Nothobranchius furzeri: one gene and its partners. The protein of the gene in region 4 interacts with the protein of the main gene of each other region in a pairwise test. Links are inferred from orthologs where the notes say so. Each region holds a gene or a part of one and is shown on either strand. Other genes may lie near its edges. The genes, in order: rfc5, phf1, nedd9, nab2, phospho2 and nme7.

What was found.
Region 1: the proteins of nab2 (region 4) and rfc5 interact in binary tests that used the Homo sapiens proteins (3 or more experiments, as listed by UniProt). The link is inferred for Nothobranchius furzeri from reciprocal best matches to the Homo sapiens genes NAB2 and RFC5.
Region 2: the proteins of nab2 (region 4) and phf1 interact in binary tests that used the Homo sapiens proteins (3 or more experiments, as listed by UniProt). The two-hybrid records come from large-scale screens. The link is inferred for Nothobranchius furzeri from reciprocal best matches to the Homo sapiens genes NAB2 and PHF1.
Region 3: the proteins of nab2 (region 4) and nedd9 interact in binary tests that used the Homo sapiens proteins (3 or more experiments, as listed by UniProt). The two-hybrid records come from large-scale screens. The link is inferred for Nothobranchius furzeri from reciprocal best matches to the Homo sapiens genes NAB2 and NEDD9.
Region 5: the proteins of nab2 (region 4) and phospho2 interact in binary tests that used the Homo sapiens proteins (3 or more experiments, as listed by UniProt). The two-hybrid records come from large-scale screens. The link is inferred for Nothobranchius furzeri from reciprocal best matches to the Homo sapiens genes NAB2 and PHOSPHO2.
Region 6: the proteins of nab2 (region 4) and nme7 interact in binary tests that used the Homo sapiens proteins (3 or more experiments, as listed by UniProt). The two-hybrid records come from large-scale screens. The link is inferred for Nothobranchius furzeri from reciprocal best matches to the Homo sapiens genes NAB2 and NME7.

Annotation. Positions count from the first base shown.
Region 1 is NC_091750.1:34,476,557-34,481,690, reverse strand, and holds the start of rfc5 (replication factor C subunit 5), read right to left. Parts: upstream 3,444-5,134; 5' UTR 3,108-3,443; coding exon 3,061-3,107; intron 2,767-3,060; coding exon 2,702-2,766; intron 2,496-2,701; coding exon 2,359-2,495; intron 2,259-2,358; coding exon 2,179-2,258; intron 2,086-2,178; coding exon 2,012-2,085; intron 1,555-2,011; coding exon 1,395-1,554; intron 792-1,394; coding exon 710-791; intron 237-709; coding exon 107-236; intron 1-106. UniProt on the Homo sapiens protein: Subunit of the replication factor C (RFC) complex which acts during elongation of primed DNA templates by DNA polymerases delta and epsilon, and is necessary for ATP-dependent loading of proliferating cell nuclear antigen (PCNA) onto primed DNA.
Region 2 is NC_091745.1:62,314,411-62,319,058, forward strand, and holds part of phf1 (PHD finger protein 1), read right to left. Parts: intron 3,646-4,648; coding exon 3,551-3,645; intron 2,843-3,550; coding exon 2,694-2,842; intron 2,415-2,693; coding exon 2,319-2,414; intron 1-2,318. UniProt on the Homo sapiens protein: Polycomb group (PcG) that specifically binds histone H3 trimethylated at 'Lys-36' (H3K36me3) and recruits the PRC2 complex. Involved in DNA damage response and is recruited at double-strand breaks (DSBs).
Region 3 is NC_091759.1:25,491,844-25,496,491, reverse strand, and holds part of nedd9 (enhancer of filamentation 1), read right to left. Parts: coding exon 4,559-4,648; intron 4,296-4,558; coding exon 4,158-4,295; intron 3,519-4,157; coding exon 2,385-3,518; intron 2,226-2,384; coding exon 2,136-2,225; intron 2,010-2,135; coding exon 1,500-2,009; 3' UTR 1-1,499. UniProt on the Homo sapiens protein: Scaffolding protein which plays a central coordinating role for tyrosine-kinase-based signaling related to cell adhesion. As a focal adhesion protein, plays a role in embryonic fibroblast migration.
Region 4 is NC_091743.1:50,555,446-50,559,644, forward strand, and holds the start of nab2 (NGFI-A-binding protein 2), read right to left. Parts: upstream 2,801-4,199; 5' UTR 2,666-2,800; intron 2,501-2,665; 5' UTR 2,446-2,500; intron 2,281-2,445; 5' UTR 2,232-2,280; coding exon 1,320-2,231; intron 1,182-1,319; coding exon 1,048-1,181; intron 67-1,047; coding exon 15-66; intron 1-14. UniProt on the Homo sapiens protein: Acts as a transcriptional repressor for zinc finger transcription factors EGR1 and EGR2. Isoform 2 lacks repression ability.
Region 5 is NC_091749.1:29,516,326-29,521,526, forward strand, and holds the start of phospho2 (pyridoxal phosphate phosphatase PHOSPHO2), read right to left. Parts: upstream 3,324-5,201; 5' UTR 3,232-3,323; intron 2,243-3,231; coding exon of another isoform or gene 2,176-2,242; intron 2,071-2,175; coding exon of another isoform or gene 1,952-2,070; intron 1,733-1,951; coding exon of another isoform or gene 1,552-1,732; exon of another isoform or gene 1,448-1,551; intron 1,245-1,447; exon of another isoform or gene 1,129-1,244; intron 743-1,128; 5' UTR 735-742; coding exon 664-734; intron 559-663; coding exon 464-558; intron 374-463; coding exon 1-373. Other genes in the region: syap1 (synapse-associated protein 1), read left to right, coding at 1,552-1,732, 1,952-2,070, 2,176-2,242, 3,373-3,446, 3,528-3,667. UniProt on the Homo sapiens protein: Phosphatase that has high activity toward pyridoxal 5'-phosphate (PLP).
Region 6 is NC_091756.1:61,686,403-61,691,050, forward strand, and holds part of nme7 (nucleoside diphosphate kinase homolog 7), read right to left. Parts: intron 4,052-4,648; coding exon 4,001-4,051; intron 3,859-4,000; coding exon 3,651-3,858; intron 3,544-3,650; coding exon 3,438-3,543; intron 827-3,437; coding exon 762-826; intron 1-761. UniProt on the Homo sapiens protein: Possesses an intrinsic kinase activity. Displays 3'-5' exonuclease activity with a preference for single-stranded DNA. Does not seem to have nucleoside diphosphate kinase activity.

The DNA of each region.
Region 1 (5,134 bases), on a different chromosome or scaffold from region 4:
TGTTCTTTGCAATATGCATATCGTGCATGCAGATATCGCGATAACGATATATTTACGACATATTGTGCAGCCCTACCACCACACATTAGGTGGTGGTGAAGGATACGGTTGTAAGCAGTGTTGAAGTCTTTGTTGAGGCACCAGTCCAGGATGTTGGCGATGTCTGAGCGAAGGGGCTGGCCCGTACAGGTGTACACCGTGTCCTCCGTGACCTTCCCGTACGCCATGCTGGTGCTCTGAAATCCCAGAGAGAGCACCAGTTTACCCCTCTACTGATGTGATGATGAACGCTGTGGCGACTTAACACTTCCAGGTAGGGATGCACCGATACGATACTGGTATCGGCACCAATACCAGTATCGGTAAAGGTTAACCGATACCAATGCAGTTGTTTGAAAATGGCTTCACTGTAACTTGTCATTTCTGTTCACCTAATATTTTAGTTTTGTGATGATTTCCATTCATATATTTTACTTTTTATCTTCCTCACAGTCTTTTCCTGTTGAAAGCAGAGAAGAAAGTAAAATCTGTATTCCAAATCATTGCATTTTTTGTGTGGTAGAAGTATCGGTAATCGGTATCGACGAGTACCCAGATCCAAGTATCGGTATCGTATCGGTTTGGGAAAAAAGTGGTATCGTTGCATCCCTACTTCCAGGCGATCGAAAATGAACGTCTGGGCCAGAAAGAAAGCAGATTTAAGTCGTACCTGCAGAATGTTGAGCGATCTTCTCATATCACCAGATGATAACGTCACAATGGCCTTCATTCCATCTGGAGTCACTTCAACGCTGCCACATGTTAAAAAAGTTATCCGGTTAATTTTTAGTTTAAATTAGTTCCAATCCATCCGATTAAAACCTAAATATAAATCTCTTAATGAAACGCTTTAGTCTAAATTCAAGTCCAGAATCTTTCCTAAAGGAGCAACTCTGATGGGAAGACTTGGGAAAAGGCCTGGAGAAGGTTTAAATGCTCTGAGGTGTGAAAAGTTCTCCAATCCATGCACTTCATGCGTCTGCATGAAAGCAAAGAAAAAATAAAAATGTTTAAAGTCGTTGAAAACACGATGGCATAAAACGATCATTTGTGATTTTTGGTATCTTACATTAAATCAAATGTTTGCAATAATTAGGGGAACTTAAATGTTCACGTGGAAGAAGAAGCTCAGAACTCTGACTTCACCTCAGATGAACTCATCTGTGATTTTTGGGGCAGGTTTTACCACAGCAGCTTCTGCGGAGCTTAACGACCTGCTGAACAGGTGATTCAAGCATTGAATCAGGTGTGTTGGAGCAGAGAAACAACTAAAACACGCTGGACAGGGCCCCTAGAGGACCAGGATTGGGTGCAAAAACCGAATCTGCAAAAGAAAAGAGAAGAAATGTTCCTACTTCTCCTGCTGGATAACGTGCTCCAGTCGGGGGACCATCTGGTCGGGAGAGAGCGGGCCGAAGCGGAACCTGGTGCAGCGAGACTGCAGAGCGGGGATGATCTTCGACAGGTAGTTACAGATGAGGCAGAATCGAGTGTTTTCTGTGAACTTCTCAATCACTACGACAGAGGAGGTCGGCACAAGCAGGAGACGTTAAAACTAACGCAGCGAACAGAAAGTGTTGCTTGCAGTAGGAAATGATTGCAAACATTTTAAAGTTCTGATAAGAATCACAAATCATCACCGTGGGTTTTTGTTCTACCAGCCAGCATTTCTAAACCAAACATGAAAAGGATCAAATATTCTAAAGCAAGACAGGGTCTGACAGCATCTTTTCTATGCATGCCTCAGTTAAATACGAGTAAAATTGCAATCAGCAACAAAACCCACAGCGACCAGCAACAGGAAACATGTTTTCCCATTTCCTCCCAGTTTGAAACTCCTAAAAGAATCCGTTTGGAAACAAATCTGGCTTTGGAAAGCAGATCCACCATTTTAAAAGCAGCCAGATTATGAGGATGCTCAGTCAGCTGTGAGGCTCACAGTGGGCGGCGCCCTGGAGAACAGATGGCTCACCTCGGCGCAGTGCATTCTGGGCATCCTGGGTCATGGCATCGGCCTCGTCCAGAATCACCAACTTGAAGCCTTTCCTGAAGGAACAGAAAAGATGACAGCCGTACAGGTACCTGCAAAATCTCAGAGGTTCTGGGTCCCAAAAGCCCTTTTAGTTTGTTTATACCCACTTAAAAATAGTCCTGGTACTAGCAAAGCTCAGAATGGGACCTCGTACAACGTCAATCCCTCTGTCGTCAGACGCGTTTAGCTGCAAAGAAAAAGCAAAGTTTCTGAACAATCTCCGAACCCTCGTGAGGTCATTCCAGCACAGGAAGAAGCCCTGAACACTCATGAAAGTGTTTGTTTACCTCCAGCACCATGGAATTGAACTCTTTATCCTTGTACAGCTGCCTGGCGCAGGCAAGGATCGTGGAGGTTTTGCCTGTTCCAGGGGGACCGTAGAACAAAAGGTGGGGAAGCTTGTCTTCGCTGATGAACCTCTGGACTGAAGGTAATAAAATAAGTTATTAACAAAAATAAACTCATTTATAAGTATGAAAATATAATTTCAAACACACGAAATCAGAGAAACGTTTATTTTTATCATGATTTTAGTTACTAAAAGTAGAATTTTATGATGTGAATATTTATTTTACACAGATGAAGCTTCAGGAAAGAAGACAACAACGTGTTTTACTTGCAGATACTCACGGGTACTCAGGATATCTTTGTGTGAAATTAAATCGTCGAGGGTTTGAGGTCTGTATTTTTCTACCCTGAAATACAAAACAAGTGCGTCAGTTATATTATAAACAATAACTACTTACTGAATGATTAAAGCTTGACAGCACAGAAAGCAAACATATTAGCTCAAATAAAACCAATCTGTAGATTCCGTTGCCATTTTAATCATTATTGTCGAACCTAACAAGGTCTGTTTGACGAGTTTGTGCAACGGTAAAAGGTTAAAGTTATGATGGGGGACACAAGTGTGAACACTTCAGCTACTAGCATGCTAGCTAGCTAGCACTAAGCACCTTTGCGTAATTAAACACGCGCTTTCTGCTCACCAAGGTAAATTCCGAGACTGCAACGGGACTTTACTCGTAGACGCCATGCCTCCTGCAAATGAACAATAATCACAAATAAACACTAGAATTTTAGCCTGTTCGTTAGCTTGTAACCCTGCCTTGTTTTGCCGCGCTCACGAGAGAAACGTGCGTCAAAACGTCAATACGTACAACCAATTGGATGACGGTATTTGTCTTTGTAGTGGGCGGGGTCACTGTGGTTAGTTGAGCGCTGCAAAAAGTTAACACAACTGCGACTAATCAGTACGCTGCAAGAAATGTCAAACATTGTTGTTCCTCTTCAAATTCGTTTAAATGTCAAACTTTTTCTTTTCTCATTGCAAATAAATCACTAGAAACCAATAAAACCAAAAATATTTATCCAGCTTGATCAATTATATTAGCCAGAATGTCCTGAAAGAAGCACAACGTAAAAACAATTATGTCAGCTATTTCCAGATACGACGACGATGATGATGATGACTAGATGTTTGTCACTACCCACTTTGTACCTAAACATTCTAATTTCTTTAGAAAATGTGTTATGAGCTATGCCCGTGTTAAGATTTACCTAAAATAGATCACATTTTTCATGTAAACACAGGTTTATGGTTTTATTGTGGTTTAAAGTCCCCTTAAGTCAAATAACCCCGAGAAAATTAATATAAACCTAAGTTTGACCTTAGCCTCATTTTGATCTTTGACTAAACAATCTATGATTTTTCAGCGATGCTTGCACTGCGATCTTTTTAATCAAATATATATATATATATATATATATATATATATATATATATATATATATATATATTGTGTGTGTGTGTAAGTGTGTAATAAGAGTGCACATATATGTGGCGTTGATATGAGTAAATGAAATAGAATAAAAAAATCTTTGACTCGGACATGAAGAAAACCCGTTTCTCATCCAGGCCTGGAGTTCTCGCGAGAGCGGCCCCTCACGGCGGAGCCTGGGCGCTGCTATGCTGTTGCTGTGGGTTTGATTGACAGGAATCATGTCGGTGTGGTGGGAACGTACCGGGATGCTGCTGCTGCCCAGGGAGACACGGAGGACCCGCATCCAGCAGCGTTAAGCGCTCCAGACTTCCCTCCGAGCTGTCCGCTTACGATGCGCTGAGCCACATCCCTCTTTTCCTTTCTTTTCTTTTTTTTCTTTCAACATCCTTCTGAGAGGAAGAGGCACCCAATGGATGCTGTGTCAAACCGCGCAGTCCAGCTCGGTGTCTTCATGCTGCATCTGATTTAGCCCACCTTGATGATCCAGCAGGACTGATGGAGGCGATGGAGTCGACTCTGTCACGGCTCAAACCCTGAATCCAAACCCGCAGCATCTCTTTTCATGGCGTTCTGCAGGTCGCTGTACTCCGTGGGCTCCTCCACGTTTATTTCCTTCAAATAATCTTTATCGTTGTCATTTTTCTCCTGCAAAGAGAACTATCCACCCACTGTTCGCCAAACAATGAACGAGGAGATGACAAAAAGCGAGGAGCAGCATCTGAGTTTGCAGAAAGCCTTGCAGCAGTGCGAGTTGGTGCAGAACATGATAGACATAAGCATCTCTAGTTTGGAGGGTTTACGGACCAAATGTGCCACATCCAACGACTTGACGCAAAAGGAGATAAGAACGCTGGAGGTAAGCTTTTATTGGTGTCTCTTTTGGACGTGGTGCATCTCCACCTCCATCCATCCCGAGGGCTGCCACCGTGCTGTTTTTAGGCCACTCTGCATATTTATGTGCATTTTTCCAGGGGGCATTGTGCTGCCAATGCATTCATATGCAAAGATCTCCGCTAAAAGCTCGCCGCTATCTGTTTTATTTGTTTGTTTTTTTGTGTGCAGTGCAATGAATCAAGAGGCCACGGTGCGTCTGCAGTGGGTTGTTTTACAGACTTGCGCATTCTGCAGGTGGCGGGGATGAAGGTGGCTCTTCATCAGAGTATGATGCGAGGCCTATAGGCTGCCCGTGTTTACAATCCATTACCAGCAGACGACAGCCTGCGCATCTGCTGTGGCAGCGTGTCCCAGACCCCATGAGCGGTTATGCAAGACGCGCGGA
Region 2 (4,648 bases), on a different chromosome or scaffold from region 4:
TCAGAAATGAAGCTCCGACGCGCTGTGACGGCAGCGCGCGTTTGCTATTCTGACTGTGAACTCAGACCGCTCTAACTCCATCACCTGCTCAGCAGATGCTCGACCAATCCTGCCTCATTTTCCCCAACTGTCAATCTCACTTTCATTGCTTCTTTTATCCTCCTTCCCTCCAGAAGCCTGGGCAGCAAAACAGACCGGCGTCCCAGAGACGGTTAACGACAACACAAACTTAAACCGATGGACGAGATGAATCTCATCCGGCTTTTTCACCCAGACTCGTGTCTGAATGATCTGTTCAGCTGTTTTTCCCTTTTGCTTTAGGGTGATTTGATGTTCCTGGATCTCTCCACATGTCCACCGATCATTTAGGATAATGAAGACGATTCTTTGAAAGGGGAAGCTGTCTCAGAGACGTCTTAGTCAATTTCACTCTGGCCAGCCGCTTTAAACAAGATGATTAATGTGTTGTTATGAATTTTGATAAATGGTCTGTTGATCCGCAGTTTCCTGCTCCATAAAACTGTTTCTTTTCCCAATTAATATGTTGGTCAGATTGATGAGATGTAGCTTTGTAATGTTCATTTAAAAAAAACTTTTTATAATTTAACCACCAAACATTGAATAACAGACAATTCTCTCCTGATATTAGATTCAAATAAATAAATAAATAAATAAATACAAAATGAATAATAAAAATATTTTCTTCATACAAACACAACAGAATTTTTAACTCCACTTTTATTTTGAAAGATTTCTGGATGTTTTACACTGCGTTCATGTTTGACTTTCTGTCTGGCCCAAGCTGAATTTGACATGTTCTGGAAGAGTATGTAGAAAATAGACTTGAAGCATAGGCAACTCATACATACGCTTCTGGTGTGCTTCCTAAACGTAACGCTTATTGGGCCAATGGAAACACACTCATTCACTATATTGGTGGCTAACTGCTGCATACTACGTGCATTTGTGTCTGGTGGAAAGGCTCGATAAGGCAGCGAATGTCTGGATTTATCTTTATTTATTACAATAAACCTGTGTTGTCAAGTATTTCAACTAAATTTATAATAAAAAGGTTGTAGAGCATCAATGTCCTTTGGTGAGTTGCAGCACAAATCGTGTCATTAGAATTTTAAATGTGTAAACCTAAAATTGCACTAAGCCATTTCCTCAAAATAGTTGCAAAGCTCAAAGTTTAGCCTCTGAACGCCAAACACTTAAAAAAAAAGAGTGAGACTAATGAAACTGAAGCTGGAGACCAAATTAAACTCATTTGTGAGCAACTGGAGACTAAGACATGACAGTCTGACATTAAGAGTGTGGCAGATATGCTAGAAAATGAAGATGAAGCGTAAACGAATTACAAAACATTGCAAATTAATTTTAAGAATTCAACTTTCACAAAAACACTCAAAGTTAAATGATGTTTCAACTAATTTGCATATGTTCTTGCAATTTTGCGTCTCCAACTATTTGCCAGGAATTTCCTTACTTTGTTACGTCTCTCATCAGGGACACATTGTAACAAATTTATTATCAGAATTCAGACATTTTCACCATTCAGCTGAAATATTATTGGTCCATTCATTTTGAGGTTTTCCGGGGTCAATATAAGAGCCAGTTTGAGTCTCTTATGAAACACAGCTGGAGTTCAAAGTTTTTAGACACACAAACGTCAACCACTCACTCCGAGTAAAAGAGCAGCAGGTAGGTGTGAGTCCATCTGCAGTATAATGAGAAAACGACTTCTGGATGGAAACTTGGTGTCAGGAAGAGCAACAAAGAAGTCACTTCTATCCAAGAAAAGAATCAGAGACAGACTGACGTTCTCAGCCAAGGGAGGGGAGTCACTCAGTTTAGCCTGAGAATAGCCATGAAGAAAGAATGTTGCCTAAACATCCTCCCTGAGGAACTCCTTCAACAATCCAGGAACAGTCACAACTAAGTGGCTCGGGGAGCCAAATATCACTGAAATCCAAGCACCATTGAAGAAGAATGGGCTGCTACCAGTTAGGATTTGATCCAGAAGTCAACTGACAGCATGTCACAGCTATATCGATGTCATTTACGCGTTTACGATCACACAAAATCCCACTCTCTTATGGAGCTAATAACTGTTCTAAAGTGATTTCATTACAAGAACATCATATAACTAATCACTTAGCAGGCCAGCTGACTGATCCAGATCTGTTTTACGGCCATGCAAAATTCAGTGGATCAAAGATAGTCCTTAATGCTACAAATAATTAAAAACGTATCTTTTGAGACTCATTCAGTCCAATTAGAGATGTCCATATGCAGATTAGTGATCTGTCACCTACCTGTCCCCGTAAAGCAAAGGCTTCATTAGACACTGTGTGCAGGCCTCGTGAAACCACTGACCACAGCTTCCACACTGCAGCATCTTCAGGTTCCACCTGCAGCCCAGCAACAAGAAAACCCAATCGACATTAAACTCATCTGCACAAAAATGTGTCCACCACCAATTACACAATGATTCTGGGTTCACATACAACAACAAAAAAATACTGCGTTTGTTTTATTCTGCAGATAAACAAAAATAAATAAATTAACGCCAAGTAAAACAAATCGCTTTGCATTCAGTTTATTTCACAACATGACGTCCAGCCAATCATAAATAATCCAGAGGACGAGCCAGGTGACAGAGCAGACATGAACAGTGTGTTTAAACTCACTCTCCAGGTCCGGCGCAGTAGCAGTAACACTGCTGTTGGTTGGTCAGATGCTGCGGGTCCCAGTCTAAAGACGACAGCTGGTAGGGGAGACGGAGTTTCATGAACTGCATGAGTCGGGCGAAGCGTCCTCGCTTCAGAGCTCCGCCTCTCTGGGAAAAAACAAATTTGGGACAGAACTGATTGCACGTGAGCCATTAAATCTTTTTGAATCAGTAGACATGTCCAAAAACAAAGACACCATCTTGGGGCCATCAAGGGGCCGCAATATTTATAGAGGAGCCAAGTATTAATCCTACAACTAAACTAAAGATTTAACTCAGGAAGTTCTTATTTGGCTGATTAGCGCCACTTGTGTTTGGACTTGGAATCGTATCCACCTAACATCTAATCACGGACAAAGGATAGTTGAGAGGCAGCCAATCAGATTTCAGCAGGAGCTAATGCCTCTGTGGCTCCGCCCGTAGAACCTCCAGTGAAATTATCTCATTTTATTGTAGGTTATTCATGAAAGCTGAATTCTTTGGCACCAGAATTTTTGAGATCTGGACTTTGACAGATCGATAATTGCTTTTTTTTTTCATCTTTCAGGTACAGAAATGGAGCACATGTGATGGATTGACTTTAAATGTGCTCCTGATTTCCTGTAAACCAACATAACTATCGATTGTCCACAGTTCCTCAGACACAATGCAGAGCGCCTCATATCAGAGCCACTGCTGAGAGAAGGAGTGTGTTTTCAGCCTCAGATAAACACATTACATGCAGCACACAGCCTTGATGTATTTGACAGGATTCCTCCATTATTCCAGACTGAATGGTGTTTTTTATGGGTGAGACGGAGAGATTAGCAGCCTGACCTTGGTTGCGACTGCAAAGACACATTGACGACAAATCCACGAATCGCTGTCTGCTTCCAGTTCGATAGTCGGTGTGTGACACTCCGGATGATAACCTGTAACAGAGGAGGAGGCAGAGCGTGTAATTTGTCTTTATAAGACAGACAGCCAGGATGACAGTAATGGCAGAGCAGCTCCATTTTAAAGACTTTGGTTTTAAAGGCATGCAGAACATTTAGCAGCATGTAGGTAGGGAGCCATGTTTGCTTCTCACCTTCCTCAGACTGACACTAACCATGTTTGCGCAAGGCTGCTGTAATGACATAACCATTTCCTGCATCTGCTGCTGGGCATTTTTAAAACCTGCACATCTGATGAGTATGAAGTCAGTGTGAAAGTGGACAGATATTGTTTTATCTGCTGCAGATACCGATTTTGGGCCAATTTTCATGGTCAATATCTAAATGTTTTCCAACATTTTTGCATGCTAAAGTGTCATTAACACCGGCTGATGCACAAAATTTCTTTAGTTGAATCAGTTTTTGAACCACTGCTCAGTGTTAAAACCAGACGTTTAACTAAAGTTAATCAAACAAATCAATGAACTGACCAAGTACTAAATATTCAAAACTGTTGAGTAAAAAAGAAATTTTAGTTGAAAATATCTTTTGGAGCTTTTATTATGAAGATGTTTGTTTTTCCAGGAACATAAATTTACATTTAAATTAAATTCTACAGCTGCCTGTGGATGTGTCTGACTTTAAAATCGTACATACTAAGGAGGTATTTCAGCCCATGCTGATAAATAATAATGTCAAATATCAGCCCAATGTATCGGTCGGCTGATATATCAGTTTACCCTTTCATCAGAACGTTTTGAATGGAAGCCAGTTAATTCAAAAATACAACATTTAGGGTTAAATGCTCACAGTTCAGTAAACTTAGAAAATACAAGTTTATGTTTCTGTATGATCATAACAGCTGATGCCCACATTTCTTTAGAACTGAAGTGTTTCCATCCCCACCAATTGTAGACAGCGCCCTGAACAGCCTCTGTTCAGGGAAATGAAGAGTTTACGTTCTTCAGGATTGATGAGCTAACAGGTAGTAAGAAATGTG
Region 3 (4,648 bases), on a different chromosome or scaffold from region 4:
GAAAATATATTTTATTATATATTAGGGTGTTTAATTAATCTTTATGAATCTTTTCACTTAGGGAAATACTTTTGTCTGGGCCGTTTTTACTGAATGTTTGGTGGATTTAAATCTGTAATCTTGTCTTTCCCAGAGCCACCAGCAGGGGGCAGCAACGCACTGACAGAAAACGGCCTGACTTCAGGTCAAAGGTCAGAGATGAAAACAAGACAGGCTTTGTTTGTAGGGTAAGCTAAAACCTTTCATCAATATAAAAGTTTATTTTAATGTAAAAATGGAAAAATTCATTTATTAATGTTTCTGTTCAGCTTTTGACTAATGCCTTTCACAGCCGCAGAGAAAACACTTCCTGTTTGCAGTTTTCTAGTTCCTTTGGGGAAATACCAGTTCTGATATGTTTAACAACAGTAATGTAAAAGTAATACTACTAAGGTAATATTTAGGTAGTATAATGCTTACCTTTGTTCATCCAAACACGTCCTTCGTGTTTTTTTGGTCTTTATTGGACTCAACTTTTCTCTACCTGCAGATTTTAAAGTCTAGATTCAAACTCTGCGGATCTTTTAGTTTTTACATTTGGTTTGTTTATCACTCTTTATGTTTTAGCTGCTCTGTAAAATGAACACTTCAGGAATTATGGTGCTGAAACCTTTAGAAAAATAAATGAAGTGTTTTATGTGCTGGTACCAGAACCTGCCGGTACCAGGACCGGGAGGAGACCAGTGAAATATTTTTATATAGCGAATCGTTGTCGATGCGTTTGGATGAAACTTCAGAGTCTCCTGCTTTCATCCGTCTCGCCTTGGACACACGTGCAGGCCCGGATGGAAGCCACCTCAAAGCGGGCCGAGGCCCGGCTGTTGTGGTACCGGCGAAGCCACGCGTCCCTCACATCCGGACCGCTGCGTTTCCATCTGCAGCTTCTGGAGGAACTGAGCTGTAATTCCAGAACCAGTCTGTGGCGAGAGGAGGAAATGACTCGGCAGAACCTTGGGTTCTGGTTCTGAGCTACTACCTGTCTGCTGAGCCCTTGGTACCGGTCCACTTCACTTACTCAACCCCCGTTCAGACAAAACCACAGAGTCTGATGGTTCCTGAAAACCTGCTGCAGGTTCTAAAGGCTCGGTTCTGATCGACCCAGTCAGGCCCAGACAGAAACTGGTGTTCAAAAATCTTGTTTATGGAAGGAAAATCTAAACGGCCGAGGGGTTCTGAACAGAGCCGGGCCAAACGGGCTCCGGTTGCTTTTCAGGAAAGGTTGGTAGTTTGAAAACTTGTGTCAGTAAGACGAGTCTGACCCGTGTTCAGATTAGTTGTTTACTCTGAGACGAGCTCCACAAACAACAACATCTACAGCTCATAAGGTGCTTCAGACACAACAGGAATGTTCTGAAAAGTCCACAAAGTTCTACGGAGACACCACGACTGCACCTACAGACCATAATACAAAACTATCTACAGGAAACAGCTGATATTTACACACGCAGCCAGGAGGAACATCACGACGAGGCCATCTGCAGCAGCTGCTCCTTGAACTGCCGCGCGTGGTGCGACAGGTCCGTGACCCGGTCCACCATCTCCTGGATGGCGGCCGTGTTGGGGTAGTGCAGAGCGGCCGTTTTGGTGGCGGTGACCACCGTCTTCAGCAGGTCACACAGAACGTTGCTGGAGTTCATGACCCTGTTGGCCAGCTCGGGGGCGGCGGCCTGCCGGGACAGCGTGTCCCCGATGAAGACCAGCTTGTGGGCGCTGAGGATGACAAACTTGCTGTGGGCGACGAAGATGCGGGGCGGCTGGCCGGCGCTGACGCAGCCGAAGAAGGCGTCCACGGCGCTGAGGAGGGTGACGAAGTGCTGCTCGCACTGGGCCGAATAGAAGGCGAGCAGCTGGCGGTCCCGAGAGAAGACGTGGACGGAGGACGGGTCCGACGGAGACGCGCTGATCCACTGGGGGATGTCGTTCTCCACGGGTTGGATCACTTCCTGCTCCAGCTTCTTGAACTGATTGATCTGTGAAGCAACCAGAGGTCTGGTTATTCTCCACCAGAACCAGAACTAAAGCCCGTCCCAAACATCTCCCAGGTTCTGATTCTCTTAAACCTTCCTCCTTATCCACACCCAGTTCTCCCGTCTCACCTGCTCCTGGCCCAGCTGAGCCGGGTTCTGCTTGATGATGTTTTCCTTCTCCAGCAGCTCCTTCTGCTGACGCTCAAAGTCTTCTTTCCCCTGGGAAGAAACGGGAACAGGATGAGATGAGCCGGTCCCACGGCTGCGGAGCAAGGCGCTTATACTTTACACTTTAGGTTATCAGAGGTGGTGTTTTCTGTTTGACCCGTTTACCTAAAACTCTACAGTTAAACGGTTAAACCCGTAAAAGGTTCTGACCTGCAGGTGGACGTAATCGTAGTCCTCCATCCAGCTCTTCACACACTTCTCACTGTTGTTCATGCTGTCTTTGTCCTGGCCCGGGGGGGCGGGGAAGGCCTTGGTCCGGCCGCCGTAGTTGTCGTTCTCCTCAGGCGTGCTTCCGCTAGAGAGCGACCCGTCCGCGTGCGTCCGTCGGAACAGCAGCTCAGCGTTCCCAGATATGGTGGAAGTCAGCTGCTTGGCATCGTCTGGAACTGTCCTGGACACCATGACGAAGCGGTCCAGGTCGTCGCTCTTGTGGTGGTGCGGTCGGGATGAGGCCAGGGCCTTCTGAGCCCAGCTGGAAATCTCCAGAGCGTGATAGGTCTGCAGGAGGATCTGCTGAGAGTCCTCCAGGCGTCCCAGCTGCCGTCGGAGCTTACTGTGCAGGCTGGAGTCCGACAGAGACGTGGCGTTGGCCGCGGCTCCTCTGCAGAATGTAGTAAAGTCCACCACGGTGGCCCGGACCCGATCCAGCACCGCACGGACGTCGTTGGCCTGGCGCTCCATGAACGGGAATGTCCTCCAGTGAGGGGAAGCTGTCATTGAATGCAGCGCCCCGACAGAGAGGTCCAGCGCCTGCTGCAGGCGGTACAACTTCTGCACAGCAGCGTCCACGTCCAGAACCAGGCGTCCCTCGGAGCTGGACCCGGCTGAAGACGAGGACGTGGACATGCTGCTGCGCGTGCTGCCGGTGCTGGAAAAGGACAGGCGGTTCACGTTGTCTGTCACGTCCGCTACCGCGCGAGCTTCCTGGACTGGAACGTCGTAGATTCCCTTGCTTCCGTCAGTGGCAGAGTTTTTGAGCTGGGGGGCCGGCACGCCCCGGGGGAAGTCGTAAACGTCCTGCTGGGGGTCCAGAACCGAAAGGAGAGCCGTCGGAGGAACATCGTAAATGCCTTCGCTCCGGTCGGGGTTCGGGTTTTGGCGGAGGGCGGCAGGCCCGAGGCTGGGGGGGAAATCGTAAGGAGACTGATGGTTGGGGGTGGGCTTGGTGAGGGAAGGGGGCGGGACGTCATAGATCCCTTCCTGTTTGTGTTTGAGGGGCTGTGGGAAGTCGTAGTTCCCCTCCTGGAGGGCTGCGTTGGTCCTGCAGCTGGGCACCGCGTAGATCTGTGGACAACAAGATGATTAGAGATTCTGATCAACAGGAAACAGACTCTGCCGGTCCGATCTCCTTCCCGAACCTCAAACGGGCACGGAACGGGATTTCAGGATTTTATCCTGAAGTCATCCGAGTCTGCTCCAGACTTACGGATGGTCCCGCAGAGCTCCCACACCACTTCCCAGTTTTCCAGCCTGGATTTAGCTTGAGCAGCAGCAGCTTCCCGGCTACTCGGGAAAAAGCGACGCGTTTAAAACGTTCCCGACTGTGGCGAAGCTCTGACCCTGCTGCAACCCGACCGCTCTGCCTCAAAGCATCCTGGGAGCTCAGCGGGGGGAATTAGGCTGTGGGCTGTAAGTGATTTCCATCTGGAACAGCGAGACGGGAGCAGCCAGCTGTAATTAGGAGTAAGAGCGGGTCTGAGCGTGTTTCATGTTATTACTAACAAACCGCCTCGGCGGTTCTGATGAAATCTAAGAGCTTCTGGAAATAGAAACCTTTTGACAGATGAAGTTTAAACACAAAGCCACAGCTCTGGGAACTCTACTGGCTGCCGAGGCGCTCGCTCAGAGGAGCCGCAGGAATCTCATAAACGTCACCGACTCATTTACTACCGACAGTAAAAGGCTCGGGGGCTGCGCTCTTACCCCCTGCGAGGACGGGGGCACGTCGTAAACGCCTTGTGTTCTGGGCTCCACTTGAGACGGGGGAACGTCGTAGACTCCCTGGTTCCTGGCTCCGCCCGGCTGACTCAGGAACATGTGACCTGGCGGAACGTCGTACGTCTGAAACAGAAGAGATGCTTTTAGAAAAGGATTAAAAACAGAGTTCAGCAGCTTCAAACAGCAAAAAGATGGAATATTTAGGAATAAATAATAAAAGTCATCTGATGCCTAAAGGCTGAGTTTCCAGGTTTTTGAGCCAAGCCTGGAGTTCAGGAGGGAACTACAGATTTTCTCTGGCTGCGGGTTTGGGTCAGAACACCGGGGTCACAACAGGACCTCCTCCTCCTGATCAGGTGGAGAACGCATCAGGAGGGGACACCTACCCCCTGAGACCTGCTGGGCGGCACGTCGTACAGGTCCTGCTGGTTGTGCTGTCCGGGGCCGAAGGCGTAGGACTGTCCCGCTCTGGTCGG
Region 4 (4,199 bases):
CTGTAAATGCTTACCTCATGTCTTGGTCTCTTATTACACAAACTGCTGTTCTCATCCGCATTCGGCCTGCAGAAGATAATAAAAAAATAAAAACTTTTAATTGCAATAAGAATTCTGCCAAAATTCCCAAAAATGTATGAACTACCGTTCCATTTTTGAATTTTAATGTAAACAATGAGATGTATGATGGAGTGTTATAGCCACTTACTGGTAAAAAAAAAATTACCTGGAATTTTACATGTAAAAATACTGTTTCTAGCTCATTAAACTGAAGTTTGATGATTCAGTGTCTCCTCAACTAGATTTATTGATTCAAAATTTAATTGCAACAAAATAATGTTTGTGTTTTTATAACTTTATTCTCTAACTTTTCTGATTAGATTTTAATAATTTGACCAAAAAATTATAATAATAATCCCAATAATCTGAACAGCAAACAATAGTGCTTAGGCCATGTCTGGGATTTTAAACTAAAGAACGTCAACTTTTGGAATCAAAATATGGTTAAAAATAAATAAATAGGTCAATGGCCTGTATCTGATAAAGCGCTTTATACGGTCCTGGAACCCCCCAAGGCACTTTACAACACAAACAGTCATGTATCCATTCACACACATTCACACTCTGGTGGTAATGAGCTACATTGTAGCCACAGCTGCCCTGGGGCACACTGACAGAGGTGAGTCTGTCGTACACAGGCGCCACCGGTCCCTCCGAACACCACCAGCAGGCACGGTGGGTTAAGTGTCTTGCCCAAAGACACAGCGACAGAGCGGGGCTCGAACCTGCAACCTTCCAATTATGGAGCCAGCACTTAACTCCTGTGCCACCGTTGCCCCATGCTTGCCCCAAAATTCTAGAATTGAATTGAGGTGTACTCTTTTTTTACCTGATTAACTTTTTATATAAAACCTGAGCTGTAACAGAAGAAATCTGAATAAAACAACTGAAAACGTCTAACTAACACTTTGCTTCGATCTGAAACTCGTGTGAAGCAGGTGTGTTTGTGTGGGTCAAATCCTCATCGCTCACCCCTACCTCACTCACCTTGTGCTCTTCAGTGTGGAGGTGTAGGCACATTTCCTGGCCACCTGTCGAGCCAGAGAAAACAGCTCCACCCGTCTGAGGAGAAGAGCGTTGTCGCGCATGCAGAACTGAGCTGCAGCTTCGTTGATGATCAGCTGGGGAGGAGGAGACACCGAATGAAGGAGTGATGGAGGCTTTAAATCAACATTTAAGGTCACAAGGTGAAGATAAAATCTGGTTTGTTGTCACTTTAGCGATCCGTGAGCTCGGGTGATGTGCTTGTTAGGTTTTACCTCGTGGTGTGAGAGCTGCTTGCCTTCTCTCCGTTTGGAGTCAAAGCGCCCGTAAATCAGACTGTATTTCCGGATCTCTTCTTCCTTGTTTGCATCCTGGGAACCCATTCTGAAGATGTGCCCCACAGTTTTTGCCATCTTCTTGTTCATCCTCAGCAGGGTTTTCACCTCTGTGAGATCAGACCGGGGCAGGGTCCTAAACAGCTGCTCCACGCTCTCCACCACGGCCCTCGCCGTCTCCCCGTCCAGCTGTCCTCCAGGCCAGGCTGACAGAGCCGAAGGGGCGAATGATGCAGATGGGACAGGAGATGTTGAAGGACCAGGAGGACATGTGGACAGTAGTGGCGGGCTGGGCGCCTCCTCCTCTGTTCCAGGTGCAGAAGCTACATTGCTATTACCATCAGGCTCTGGGCTGAGCCAGTGGGGGTCCATGGGGGACAGTTTTTCCCTGTAGTGTGTTTCTGGCGGTTGAGGAGAGGCCTGGGAGCAGGGGCTCCTTGGACTCCCACTGTACATTGGGGTGAGGCACGCCCGATCCTCCCTCTCACAGGGCGACCCAGGCTGCCCATTACTCACAGGCTTTCTGGGCCCGCCAGCTGACCCACTAGTGCCCGTCCCATCAACTTTGAACAGAGGGATCCCCCCGAGAGGAACGTTGGCGACAGGCTGGCTGAAAAGGGCAGGGTTCGCCGCCCAGTCTCGGAGAGCCTTCTGCAGCCTACGCACGTGCAGCGGCTTGGTGGCCATGCCAACTAGTGCCATGATTTCCAGAAACTCCTCCTCTGCAGCCTCACAGAGTTGTTGCACATCGTCACCGCCCTGCTGGATGAAGGTTTCGTAATAGGCCAGCAGGTTGGCCCGCTGCAGCACCCTGTAGAGTTGCAACTCCCCAAGTGTGCGTGGCAGAGACATGGCACACGGCACTGGAAAAGTTCAGGCAGGAGAAAGGAAACACATGAACCTGCAAAGTGGAAAAGTCCAGAGATGTTAAATATCCAGACAGCTCATTTTCAAATGCATCTATCAGGCTGAAGCACAAAAACTTTTGCATGATTCTAGGATTAAAAACATGATATTTTTCATGCAAAACACAAACGTGCACCAAGTACTCTTGAATCTTTCTTACCTTTTTCAGATGAGTTGAAACTTAAAGCAGTCTGGTCTTATTCCCTGGAATAAAACTGTGAAAGAAGCCAAATATTTTCCCTTATGGTTCTGATGTGAAGCAGTGAGCTGCTTGGGTGACTGGCTCCAGTCAGACTGAGCCAATCCTGAGCCAGATGTCAGAGAGGACTCCCTGCTCAGCGACACGTCGTCCTTCTCTACATCCGATTCGTTCCTCTTACCTCTTCACCGACAGCCTCCACGCCGCAGATCGCCGTAGTAAATCCCCTTAGCGCGTCGCTGCTTGGTCCGATATCACTGGCAGAAATCCTCCTCCGGCGCACCGTATTGGTTGCTGGCTCTGGCTGCCTTTTTGCTGTCTGTGTGGGCTGGAGAATGACGGGGGCGGGCTGCAGCACGCCATCTGACCGAAAAAGAGCCTTCCTCTCCCGGTAGAGAGGCGGCTTTCAAATAGGGGATGTGGGCGGCGGTGGTGGGGGCTTGAAATTAACCCTGTGCGTCTTCACGGCTCCTGACGCACACGCTGTGGGGGATTCCCAGTTTCACCACCACAAAGACCCCCAGACCTGAAGTCACCATTAGGTTAAAAACGATCAACTAATGTGGGTTTGCATGTAGGAGCCCACACGTGAACACGGGTTTTTGCTTGAACCTGTTTCTGTTCTCCAAGACAAAGAAAGTCTAAGAAAAAACGTCAGAAAAAGGTTAACGCGACTGTTGAATCAGATATATATTATATTATATAGTTAGAACCGAAAACATGTCAGATTTGAATCATGTTCTGAACGATTTCGTGGCACCAGCATCATCATCAACAGCAAGGCAGGAAAAATGAATCAATGATAAATGTGAACAGTGGCGGTCCCAAAGGTTGGTCAAGTGGGTGGGGGAGGGCACCCTTGCTTAATCACATTCATGTTCACCTAAACCCTTACATTCATCTTCTTTAAGCCAAATAATACATTAACTTTAATAAACCCTTTCTGTAATAACTAATTATATATATATATATATATATATATATATATATATATATATATATATATATATATATATATATATATATATATATATATATATATTAGGGCCGGGACTCGATTAAAACATTTAATCTAATTAATTAGAGGCTTTGTAATTAATTAATCTAAATTAATCACATTTTAATCGTTCAAAAAAATGTGCCCTCAAAGCAAAACTTGTAATTAAAATTATGAGACAGAGAATCAAACATTAGACATGGTTATTACTGTAAACTAAAGCTCTTAATTTAAAAAATGCCTTTTAATTATTCAAATGTCACTGTGTGATATGAAACAAGACCCAAATCAACTAAAATCAGAGTAGTGAGGACATGGACCATTTTCCCAGCTGCAGCCAGGTGCCTCTCATTTGTTTGACTACTTTCATTAACTACTGTTAGGGCAAAGAATTATTCTGTCTGGTGCTTTCAGCCCTGTACAGATATTACGTAAATGTTAAAAATATAGCTTACCGCAACATTTTTAAAGTTTCCGGTGCCACCGGGCAGCCGCAGCAGAGACGATCTCTGAAAAATGTCTGCGACATGGACTCCGTTGCTGTCTGGAAGTTTACTTTTTCTAAGTAAAGAAAAGAGGAGGACGTGTTTCCTAAATCCTGCATCAGTCCAATCAAGGCAACTTCTGTCTGTTTTTATCCCTTTTTAGTAGCCATTGTTGTGTGCGTCAGTGATATTCGGTCTACAAGGAAATTGTGCAATGACAAAGGTTCCGCCTT
Region 5 (5,201 bases), on a different chromosome or scaffold from region 4:
CCGTCTCCCACATAAAAGATCCGCTCGTAATCTGTGCCACCAGCCGTTTTCTCTGAAAGGTAGAGCTCCAGGACTTTCCTCTTGCAGAGGTTGACAGGACATTTGTTGCAGTCGTGAGAATGGTAGTGCTGCACCTCCATCCAGCCAGACTCGTTAAACCTAGCCGGGTTGCTGAAAACCTGGTCCACAGCTGACTGAAGTCCCGCCGCTGTCAGGACCCATTCTATAAACAAGGAGTTGGCATCAGAGATGACAATGCAGTCAACTGTGTTTTTATTCTCTGATATAAATGTCAGCAAGTCTATCATTCCAGCGGTGAGGGGGATGGTCTCCATCACAGCTCGTACCCTGTCAGGACTGACCCCCTGGTCTCCTGTTTGAATTCATGAAAAAAGGATCACAGCTGATGGCTGAGCAGGAAGGAAGAAACAAAACACAATAAAATATCATAATGAACTCTAACCGATGTACTGCATCACTCTGCACATGTAATCCGTCCAGTGGCCCTTTCTGTAGGAACACTTCACAGAGTTTGGAAGATTTTGGTTCGGAAGGGACCTGAAAACAGGAAAAAAGTGAGATTAATAAAAGGATAAATGGTTACCCTACTACACTTTCCTATCTACGATGATATTTGGATAACGTCTGATGTTTATTACATACTGGATCACCCAGATGTCACAGTTGTCATCAACCACAGTGTGGTCAAAATCAAACACCATCAGATGCTTCATGTTTTCACCTGGAAAAAATGTGGTTTTGAATAAAGACACACAAATAAAGTGAAATAATCATCATCAAGGAGTAAAACAGGTTTAGTGGCTGAACTGTAAGCACTTTCATTTTCTATAACTGCTTATTTTAATATGCCGATTCAACCACGGCTGCGTTGTTAATATGATCTGATTTTTGCTTAAATTATCACAACAATAGTATGTTTTTAAAAGCTAGTATTATTTTAAGCAGGAGTTTGGCGTAGCTTGTCCAGCCTAATCTTCCGGATTAAAAACGAATGCAAAATGCCAAATTTGGGTAGAGAGGACTCAGCATTGAGTACACGTGTTTCTAAGGCCGAATTCATAGTTAGTTACTTTACACAAATCAGAATATTAAAATATAAATTATTACCGGTCTGTCTGTCACGAGTCCGACGGAAACAGCGGCTGTAAATATGTGCAACACATTTCTGCTCGCTACTGCCGCCTGCTGGTTGTTTCGATGCATTACTAGAACGAGATCATGACGTTGAGATAGATTTCATCAAATGTCCTTAAAAATATCGTCATTATCTAATTATTTTTGATGTAATTTTCTTGAATATTTATGCAACAATAATTAATTGTTAAAAAATCACAGTAAACGAACAAGAACAAGCTCATTTTTGCTCTGTGGCCACTAGGTGGTAGTATAATTCAGCTCTGACAAATCATAAAACAGAAGAAGAAACCCTGCCCCTTTACTTCCTGGTTGCATAAAATAATCCTCGCACTGTTTAGTGTGATATATTCTGTCGTCACCTCTTCTCTGACGAGTTTAAATTTGTGAACCAGCATGTTCAAAGGATTCGGGACGTGGTTGGGTCTGGAGAAGACGTCGGAGGAGAACCTGAGAGCGGAGCAGGAGGAAAAGGTGGTGGAAGCCCAGAACGACGTAAACAAACAGCAACCAGCTGACCAGGATGGGGAGGCAGAGACAACGCAGACAAACACTCAGCAGAACAAAGGATTTGGTGGTGAGGAACAAACTATGTCTCGCTACTCTATTGATTAGTAAATGTCTTTAGAGAAGTTTAACGCTTTTTTTCAGAAGGTAGCGTTTATTATATCATCTTAAACCCGAACTAAAGGTTTCTCCATTTGTTGTTTTCAGCCAAGTCAGCTGAGTTTAAAATCTGCTGTTTGCTTCTTGTTTAAATAAACGTTTCTGTTTTTATCTCCTCTCCTGTTTAAAGACTACATCTTCAGCTTTGCCTCCAACGCCACCAAGAAGCTCTCTGATTCTGTGGTGGAGACTGCTCAGAACATCAAGAAGACAGTAGAACAAGGAAAGATCGACGGCATCATAGACAAGGCATGGCGGGATTGCTGGCCACGTTTTTGAGCCCTTTAGGGCAGGATTTCGTGTTATCTGCTGTATAAGTTAGATGACTGATTACGTGTTTGTGTGTCTTTGCAGACTATTCTAGGGGAGTTCCAGAAGGAACAAGAGAAGTTTGTTCAAGAGAAGAAAGCCAAAAAGTCAGGTAAAGCCAGATGTGACGTAATCACAGGTGTGTCACCATTAGGTGGCATTTTCAGGTCACCGAAAGCCCTGCTGACCCTGTGTGTTAGGGTCAAAGTCCTCGCTAGATGAAAATGACCATCTAATGAAAATGTTTGAAAATACATGAGAAAAAGCCGAATAGATGGATTGAGTCACTTAAAATGAGCTCACACACAAGTTAATTAGTACTTTAACACTTGCTGATAGGAGGTAGAAAAATATAAAAGGTTCACAAAGTTTAAATCTGTTTTAAATGACTGTGTATAAAATTCTTGACTTTAGGAAAAACATAAACAGGAGCAGATCATTTATTCCGTGTGAGGGCTTGAGCTAACTGATCGTTTAGAAACGCCTTCCTGGAGTTACAACCTACTTTTTGTGAAATTGGGATTTTTGACTCTTTTCACAAATCTAATGAACTGAGAACAAATCGTGTCTTTGTGACGGGCTTCTGCTGAGAAGCCCTGAATCTTTGCTGTCAACAGGAAGGTGGCTCATCCCTTAAGTTTAGCTGTCTTGGATGCCCGAATGATTTGCATGTCTGTGTTGAAGAAACGGAAAGGAAAAAAAAGACATTTCACAAATATACAGCCACAATATTAGGTGAAGTCTAAAGAAAATGAAGATCCTTTGAAATCCTGGAGAATTATTGTTCCAGAAGGAGGTCTGAATGACTGGAAGTGACTCGCTGTTCTCCATGGAGTCATCAGTACCAGTTTATAAACAGACTCGTACATTAGAGTGACTGTTTGGCTAATTGATAGCAGCCCATGTTTCTAGTTTTATTATTGTCCCCTTTTGTTAGGGGGGGGGGAGACTATGTTGGATCAATAATTGTACAGAAATGCTGATAGAATATTTGATAGATTATTAGACTAGTTTCAAGTAAGATACTGTTATTATTTTGCCCCAATGCTCCATTAGCTTCTATTAGCAGGTTAGACCTGAAAGAGGACGTCTGAGTCTCACCTTAACTCTTCGTTGTGGTCCTGAGAATCAGCTGAAGTTATGTGGCTCCATCCGCTCTTATCGTAACATGTCCTTTTAGAAGAACTAGGCGTGTGTGTGTGTGTAAAAGAGAGATAAGAGTGTGTCAACGTGTTTGTGTAGAAGCAGCAGTGCCTCCATGGGTCGGCTACAACGAGGAAGAGACGATCCAGCAGCAGATCCTCGCTCTGTCCGCTGTAAGCAGCACCATCCTACTACAGTGGTGTCTCTAACCAGCTGTTTGTGCAGACACTGACCTCTCTGGGTGCTGATTGTAGGACAAGAGGAACTTCCTGCGGGACCCTCCAGCAGGTGTTCAGTTCCACTTTGACATGGAGCAGATGTATCCTCTGGCTGCAGTCATGCTGGAGGAGGACCAGCTCCTCAACCGCATGCGCTTTGACCTGGTTCCTAAGCAGTAAGTGGTCTTTCTACATCGTGTGTGTGTGTGTGTGTGTGTGTGTGTGTGTGTGTGTGTGTGTGTGTGTGTGTGTGTGTGTGTGTGTGTGTGTGTGTGTGTGTGTGTGTGTGTGAGCAGAATGTGGGAACCACTTCTGAGACAGGGGCAGCAGAGATAACATACTGTAACTTTTCTAGATCTTTGCTGAACTCTGTTGTGTCAGATGGTGAGGCAATAAACAATCTTCAAAGCTTAGAGGCTCAGCAGTATCTACATAGTAATAAGTGGAGTGTGTGTATGCTCCAGCCGGGTATCAGATACAATATAAAGCTGCATCGTTGACTATTTTGTGATGTCCTTGCCGAAGTTTTGGAACTTAGGTTAAAGCTGGTGGTCTGAACACACGTTACGTTATTACTCAGAAAATTGTCCACATGAAATCATACCTGTTGTTGTTGTTGTGAGGCTGCTGTCATGTCTGTTTGCTACCCAGCTTCTCGTCTCTGGAGGTTTGTCATATCTAACAACAAAGTAGGATGCAGGTGTTCCTGTCTGGGTATTTTCACAATAAAATGAAAGAAATGCACAAACAAAGTTTTTGGTGGTTTTCAAGTTAAGATTTTTCAGCCACATCCTTCTGGGTTCCTCATCTCTGGAGAGGGGGTGGGGTAAACCAACGCTGGCAGCCACACTCTCTCTCTTCCTCCAAAATGCATGCTCTAAGCATCGCTCAGATTTAAAATCCTCTGATTGTTTGTACAACAAACTCACTTGGAGGCCAGGCTTCCCTGCCTCTTCCCTGTAGATAACCAGAGCATCACTCAGTTCGCTGTGGGATGTGCTGAGCAAGATGGTGTCGTCGGCATACACCAGGTCAGTCTGGTGGTAGCTGCCTACGGTTCACTCTGAAGATCCGTTCACAGACCTTGCACATCAGATGGTCGAAAAGGCAGTAGAAGTCCTGCTGGGCACCACTGGAGATGGAAAACCAGTCAGAGTGGATGCAGCTCTGTGCGTTGCTGTAGAGAAGTTTGAACAGGGCAACGCTCTTGGGTGGTGCTCCAAGTGCTTGTAGGAAACTCCACAGTGAGTTGTGGAAGACTGTGTCAAACGCAGCCTTCAGATCAATAAACCCGGTATCGAGGTGTCAGCCTTTACGGAATTCATATTTCACCTCTATCAGTAGGCGAACGGCAGAGATGTGGTCTGTAGTGGCTCGTCGGGCACAAAGACAGCCTGCCGGGGGTGGCGACTGCACCTGATAGCTGGCAGGTCACGGGTGAGCATAATCCTGGTGAAAAGTTTGCCGGGGATGGAGAGAAGTGTAATGTCTCTGGGGTTGCTGCAGGTCAGGAGGTCCCCCTTCCAGAAGTATAGCATAACCCCTCAGGTCCTCTCAGTTTCCCACGCCTGACTGAATGTGTGGACAAAACACTCAACAATGCCGTCACTGCCTGATTTCAACATTTCGGCGGTTATTGCTCAGATGCCGGGGGCTTTCCAGTGAAGTTTTTTCCGAGCTGCTCTGACTTCCTCAGGTGTTATGAGTGTT
Region 6 (4,648 bases), on a different chromosome or scaffold from region 4:
AAGGATGCTCTGGAGGTTTCTTCCTGTTAAAAGGGAGTTTTCCGCTCCACTGTCGCTGCATGCTTGCTTAGTATGAGGATTGCTGTAAAGACTCTTGACACTAGTCAGTTTTACTGATTGACTTAATGAACTGACCTGTACTGGAATGTTTACTGTGTGAAGGTGCTTGAGACGACTCTTGTCGTGTTTTGGCGCTTTATAAATGAACTGAACTGAAAGAAGTTGTGTCCTTGGGCAAGGCACTTGTGGTGGTTGAAGGGACCAGTAGGGAGTGTTTACAGCAGCCTAGCTTCTGTCAGTCTCCCAGCTGTGGCTACACTGAAGCTAATCACTGCTAGTGTTTGAACGTGTGTGTGCGTGCGCGCGCGCGCGCGTGTGTGTGTGTGTGTGTGTGTGTGTGTGTGTGTGTGTGTGTGTGTGTGTGTGTGTGTGTGTGTGTGTGTGTGTGTGTGTGTGTGTGTGTGCGCGTGTGTGTGTGTGTGTGTGTGTGTGTGTGTGTGTGTGTGTGTGTGTGAATAAAAGCTGTGTCGTACCCTAGAAAGTGGTGTATAAATACAGGCCATTAACCATTTGTTACAACAGACTGAAATGAAGGGATTTTATTCCACCTAATGGACCCTAACCCTTTCACAGTAACACTGAGCAGCTTGTTAGTTCTACAGCATCGATCTGTGGGAAGCATGAAGAGTCGCTGTTAAAGCGCTAGAGTTTACAGACCTTACTCATTTCATGTGAAACAAACACAGAAAAATAATAATCACCATTCCAAGAGCTGAGATCTCAAATCCAGCTGCAGATATGGAGTTAAGAATCTTCCCAGTCAGCCCTGTGAACACATGATGCTCATCAGTCTTTATGAGCCGAGTTTACACAGAAGGACAAACACGGTATTTTAGTGCTGCAGCAATCTCAGATGTCGTCCAGATCAAATAACACCTGAATCCACTGCTGCAGTGAAGCATCTGACTATCGTGAAGTCCGGATGCATCACTACTGAACGTGCTTCTGCTCAGACATCAGCGGTACATCTCAGTGCACTGACCTCAGTCTGTCCTCTGGACAGAGTGAGATAGTCTCGCTGATGTGTTGTCTATCGAGGGAAAGCATTTTTGTCCAGGCAACCTTTTAGGAAACGAGATAGTGAACTGTACATCCCATCAAAGAGCTGGGTCTTTGCTGTAGAAGTGGTGCAGCTGCAGTGACTCTGAAGGTCAGACTGCTGCAGACACACAATTGAATCAAGGCGCCAGTCTCGTAATCTCAGTCTGATAAAAAGTAGCTTGTGTACCTGTCACCCAGGACGGTTTTCATTAACTCTAAATGCTGCAGCGCAGACGTTCAATAGGAACCAGGCGTAGCCGCCGTCTGTGGATCTCTCCCTCCCTACGTCACAGTCCAGTTATGTGCACTAGGTAATAGCCTGAGTCCTTTGTGCCCTCCCCAGGACTGCACAGGTTCCACACACTCCTCGCAGCGCCACAAAGCAGCTGCTGCTGTTGCTAGGAGATACTATTCCAGGAGCCTGGCAACAGAAGCTTCTCTATTCCGGTCATGTCTGAGTGAATTTTCACTCACAGCGTCCTTCATGGCCACGGTGACAGGCCGTCTTGACGACATAAATGAGCTACTGAAGAGATTTCTGAGGGGAGATCAGAGCAGAGCTTTTTGTCGACCTCAGCTGGACAAATCATTCAGCCTGGTTTCTATTCTTGGCTCGGACCAAATATATCACGGCTCTGAAGGTAAACAGTGTGGGAGTCACTTCTAGCAGTGAAACTGACGCCTGAGTAGGAGCTTTGAAGTTTTAACAATGCCACACTTTCTGAGAGATAACTGATTCGTTTTAACTGAACTGTTTTAAGAAGCGCCAAACTTCTTGTAGCACATCAAACACATCAGCTTAAGCGAGACATTGTTTAAGATATGTTCTGCTACGGATCAGCGTTCATGGTTCCATCATTTACAGGAAGTGGCCCAGGTCCTGCAGCAGCAAAACTGCCCCAGACCATCATACCACCATCACCATGCTTCACTGTTGGAATGAGGATACTTCACTGAAATGAAGTGTTAGTTTTACACTAAATGTAATGTGAGATGAGTCTTATGGATTATTACGGTCAGTAGAACCTCTCTGTCGCCATGGTTGATTCATGACCTCTGACCTTAATGAGGTCTGCAGTGCTTTGGTGATGTTGGGTTCTTTAGACCAGAGCATGGAGATCTTTTAGCCTACTTCATGTTGTTGGACAGGTTCTGTTGAAGTTAGTGGCAGTAAGCAGGCCTGGGTGTGGCTGGTGAAACTCACCCCAGCTCTACAAATATGTTTAATCACAAATAAATCAGGACGTAACATGGGGAGCAATTATTGTTCCACATAAAACTACTTTTTTTAAATTTATTTGGACCCCCTAATGAAGGAAACCTTCATTTGAAAACGCCGGGGTTTGATAAAAAGTTTATATACGAGCACAGAGCACTATCACTGTGACCTGTCAGGAATGATTAACACAGCCAACAACCACCGGTATTCACTGAGCAAATGTTGAAATCCATGCGTTCGGACCGAGCTGGTTTATCACCGCGGCTCGTTGCAAGCTTAACTGTTGCTCAACGGTGCCTTGCAGACAAACAAAGCATGCCCACTTGTATTCTCTCTCACCGCCTCCTTTCTCAAGCCAAAGATTTGAACGTGCCCTAGCAGGCTAAGCGTGGCTGTAACTGCAGAAATAACAAAAGTGGGCGATCTGTTCTGTTTAGGTGCAGCATGAAGGCAGGCCAGAGAGCAGCGGTGCACAGATACACCATGGCTTTATTATCGCCCAGAGGCAGTGGACGGAAATAAGCCTTGCTTTCACAAAACCTTTATAATGAATCATTTTGTCGGTTTTTTTTTCTGACTTTTCTGACTCTGGGGAATACAGCAATAAACTCAATTTCACTTAGGGGTGGAAAATCCCTTTAAGTTTATTTCAGGGACCATTGAGAGCGTTTCCATCGTAAATGCAAGGGTACATGAATTTATACATGTATGTGCAATATAATGTCACGCTGGCTCAAACTGAAACATAAAGACAGTCAGATACCAGAGAAATGATGAAACTCAAGATACAACAAGATATTAGTGGATCTGTAGTTATTACTGTATGTTCTCTGCTGTAAGTGCAGAACAAAAGCTGGGGTCCACCTCCAGTCAACAGCTTTCTGTGTGCAAACATCAGCTCTGCACAGAATTTCACATTTCACAGCTCAGAGCTCTGGTGGCATGCCCCGGGAGCAGGGATCAGCACTGGGATTTGGAAAAATCCAAGGCCATTTTGGAAACCACATGGTGGCTTTGTTGGGGAGGGGGGGGGGAAACAAGCCAGCAGCACAGGAACTCAAAATAACAAAATACAAATAAAAGTGAGATATTTTGCCATGCCTGAGTGACTCCTTACCTGCTGATACAGCGTGGGGTTTGATGATACAACAAGTGCAGTCTGTGAACAGGGCTGTGTTGGAGGGGCCATGGCCGACCGTGGAAGGAAAAAAGAATTCCAGCTCCTTACAAAAACAAACACACAAACTTTAATGATCATGACCGTTCCAGGAAGTGCGATTCTCAGACTACTGAAGGCACAAGAGAGCGAGAACAAAGTCAAAATCCTCACTCTTGCTGCTACAGCTATGGAGTCAGAGCCATGGGCCACATTTTTGATGGCGTCTGTTCCAAACTGTGCACGGATGCTCTGTGGCGCCTCTGTTAACGCCACAGCAGAGTCTGCAGGTCCCAGGAGCTCCCTCCAGATCGACAGGGCCTTGTCACCCACCAGCTCCATGGCAACCACTGGCCCAGAGGACATGAAGTGCACCAGCGCACTGCAAAACAGAGTCACGTTGGAGCTGATTTGAATTTAAAAAACTCTAAAATGTCACCATCACAGGTTGTGGTCGGAGTGCTAGATGGCAATCACAACCCTTCTCTGCTCAGAACTGGGAGATCATTTACACGAGCACTCACCTGAAGAAAGGCTTTGACTGATGTTCCACGTAAAAGTCTTCCGCTTGGCTCCTGTAAAGCAACAAAACCATCCACCAAAGTCAATGGGTGACCAAATGATGCAGCACTTCTCACATGTCTGTTGGCCAGATGACTGTTATTAACAGAGTTTAGTGATAGCGGTGATTTGCTTTGGAAAAAACAATAACAGCAGAAAAAAGAACATTTTAGTAATAACTCAAAAGTATTTTCCAGAGCGCCGTTCACAGACAAGATTAGCACAAAGCGCTGCACAACTGGACGGGACATTGTGTATCCAAATAAAGCTGAAATTATAAAAAAGGGAAAAATATACATCACAGTCAGATCCATCGTGATCAGGGAGAACGTGACAGAAGAGAAAAAATAACAGCAAAGGTTTAACAGAGGGAGGCCTGGTTGAACAGGTTGGTTGTCAAATGTTTTTATGAAAGCCTCTCCAGCCTGAGTTTGGACAGAAAGCTGGTCCAGTGTGGGAGCCTCTTGGTTCTCGCTCCAGCGTGTGGAACAGCAGGTTCTGCGACATGCGAGGCCGTGGGGATAAAAGCTGGGGTAGGTGGTCAGGTGCCTGGCCGTTCAGAGCTCTGTAGGTGAGCACATGCACCTTAAAGCAGATTCTATCATCTACAG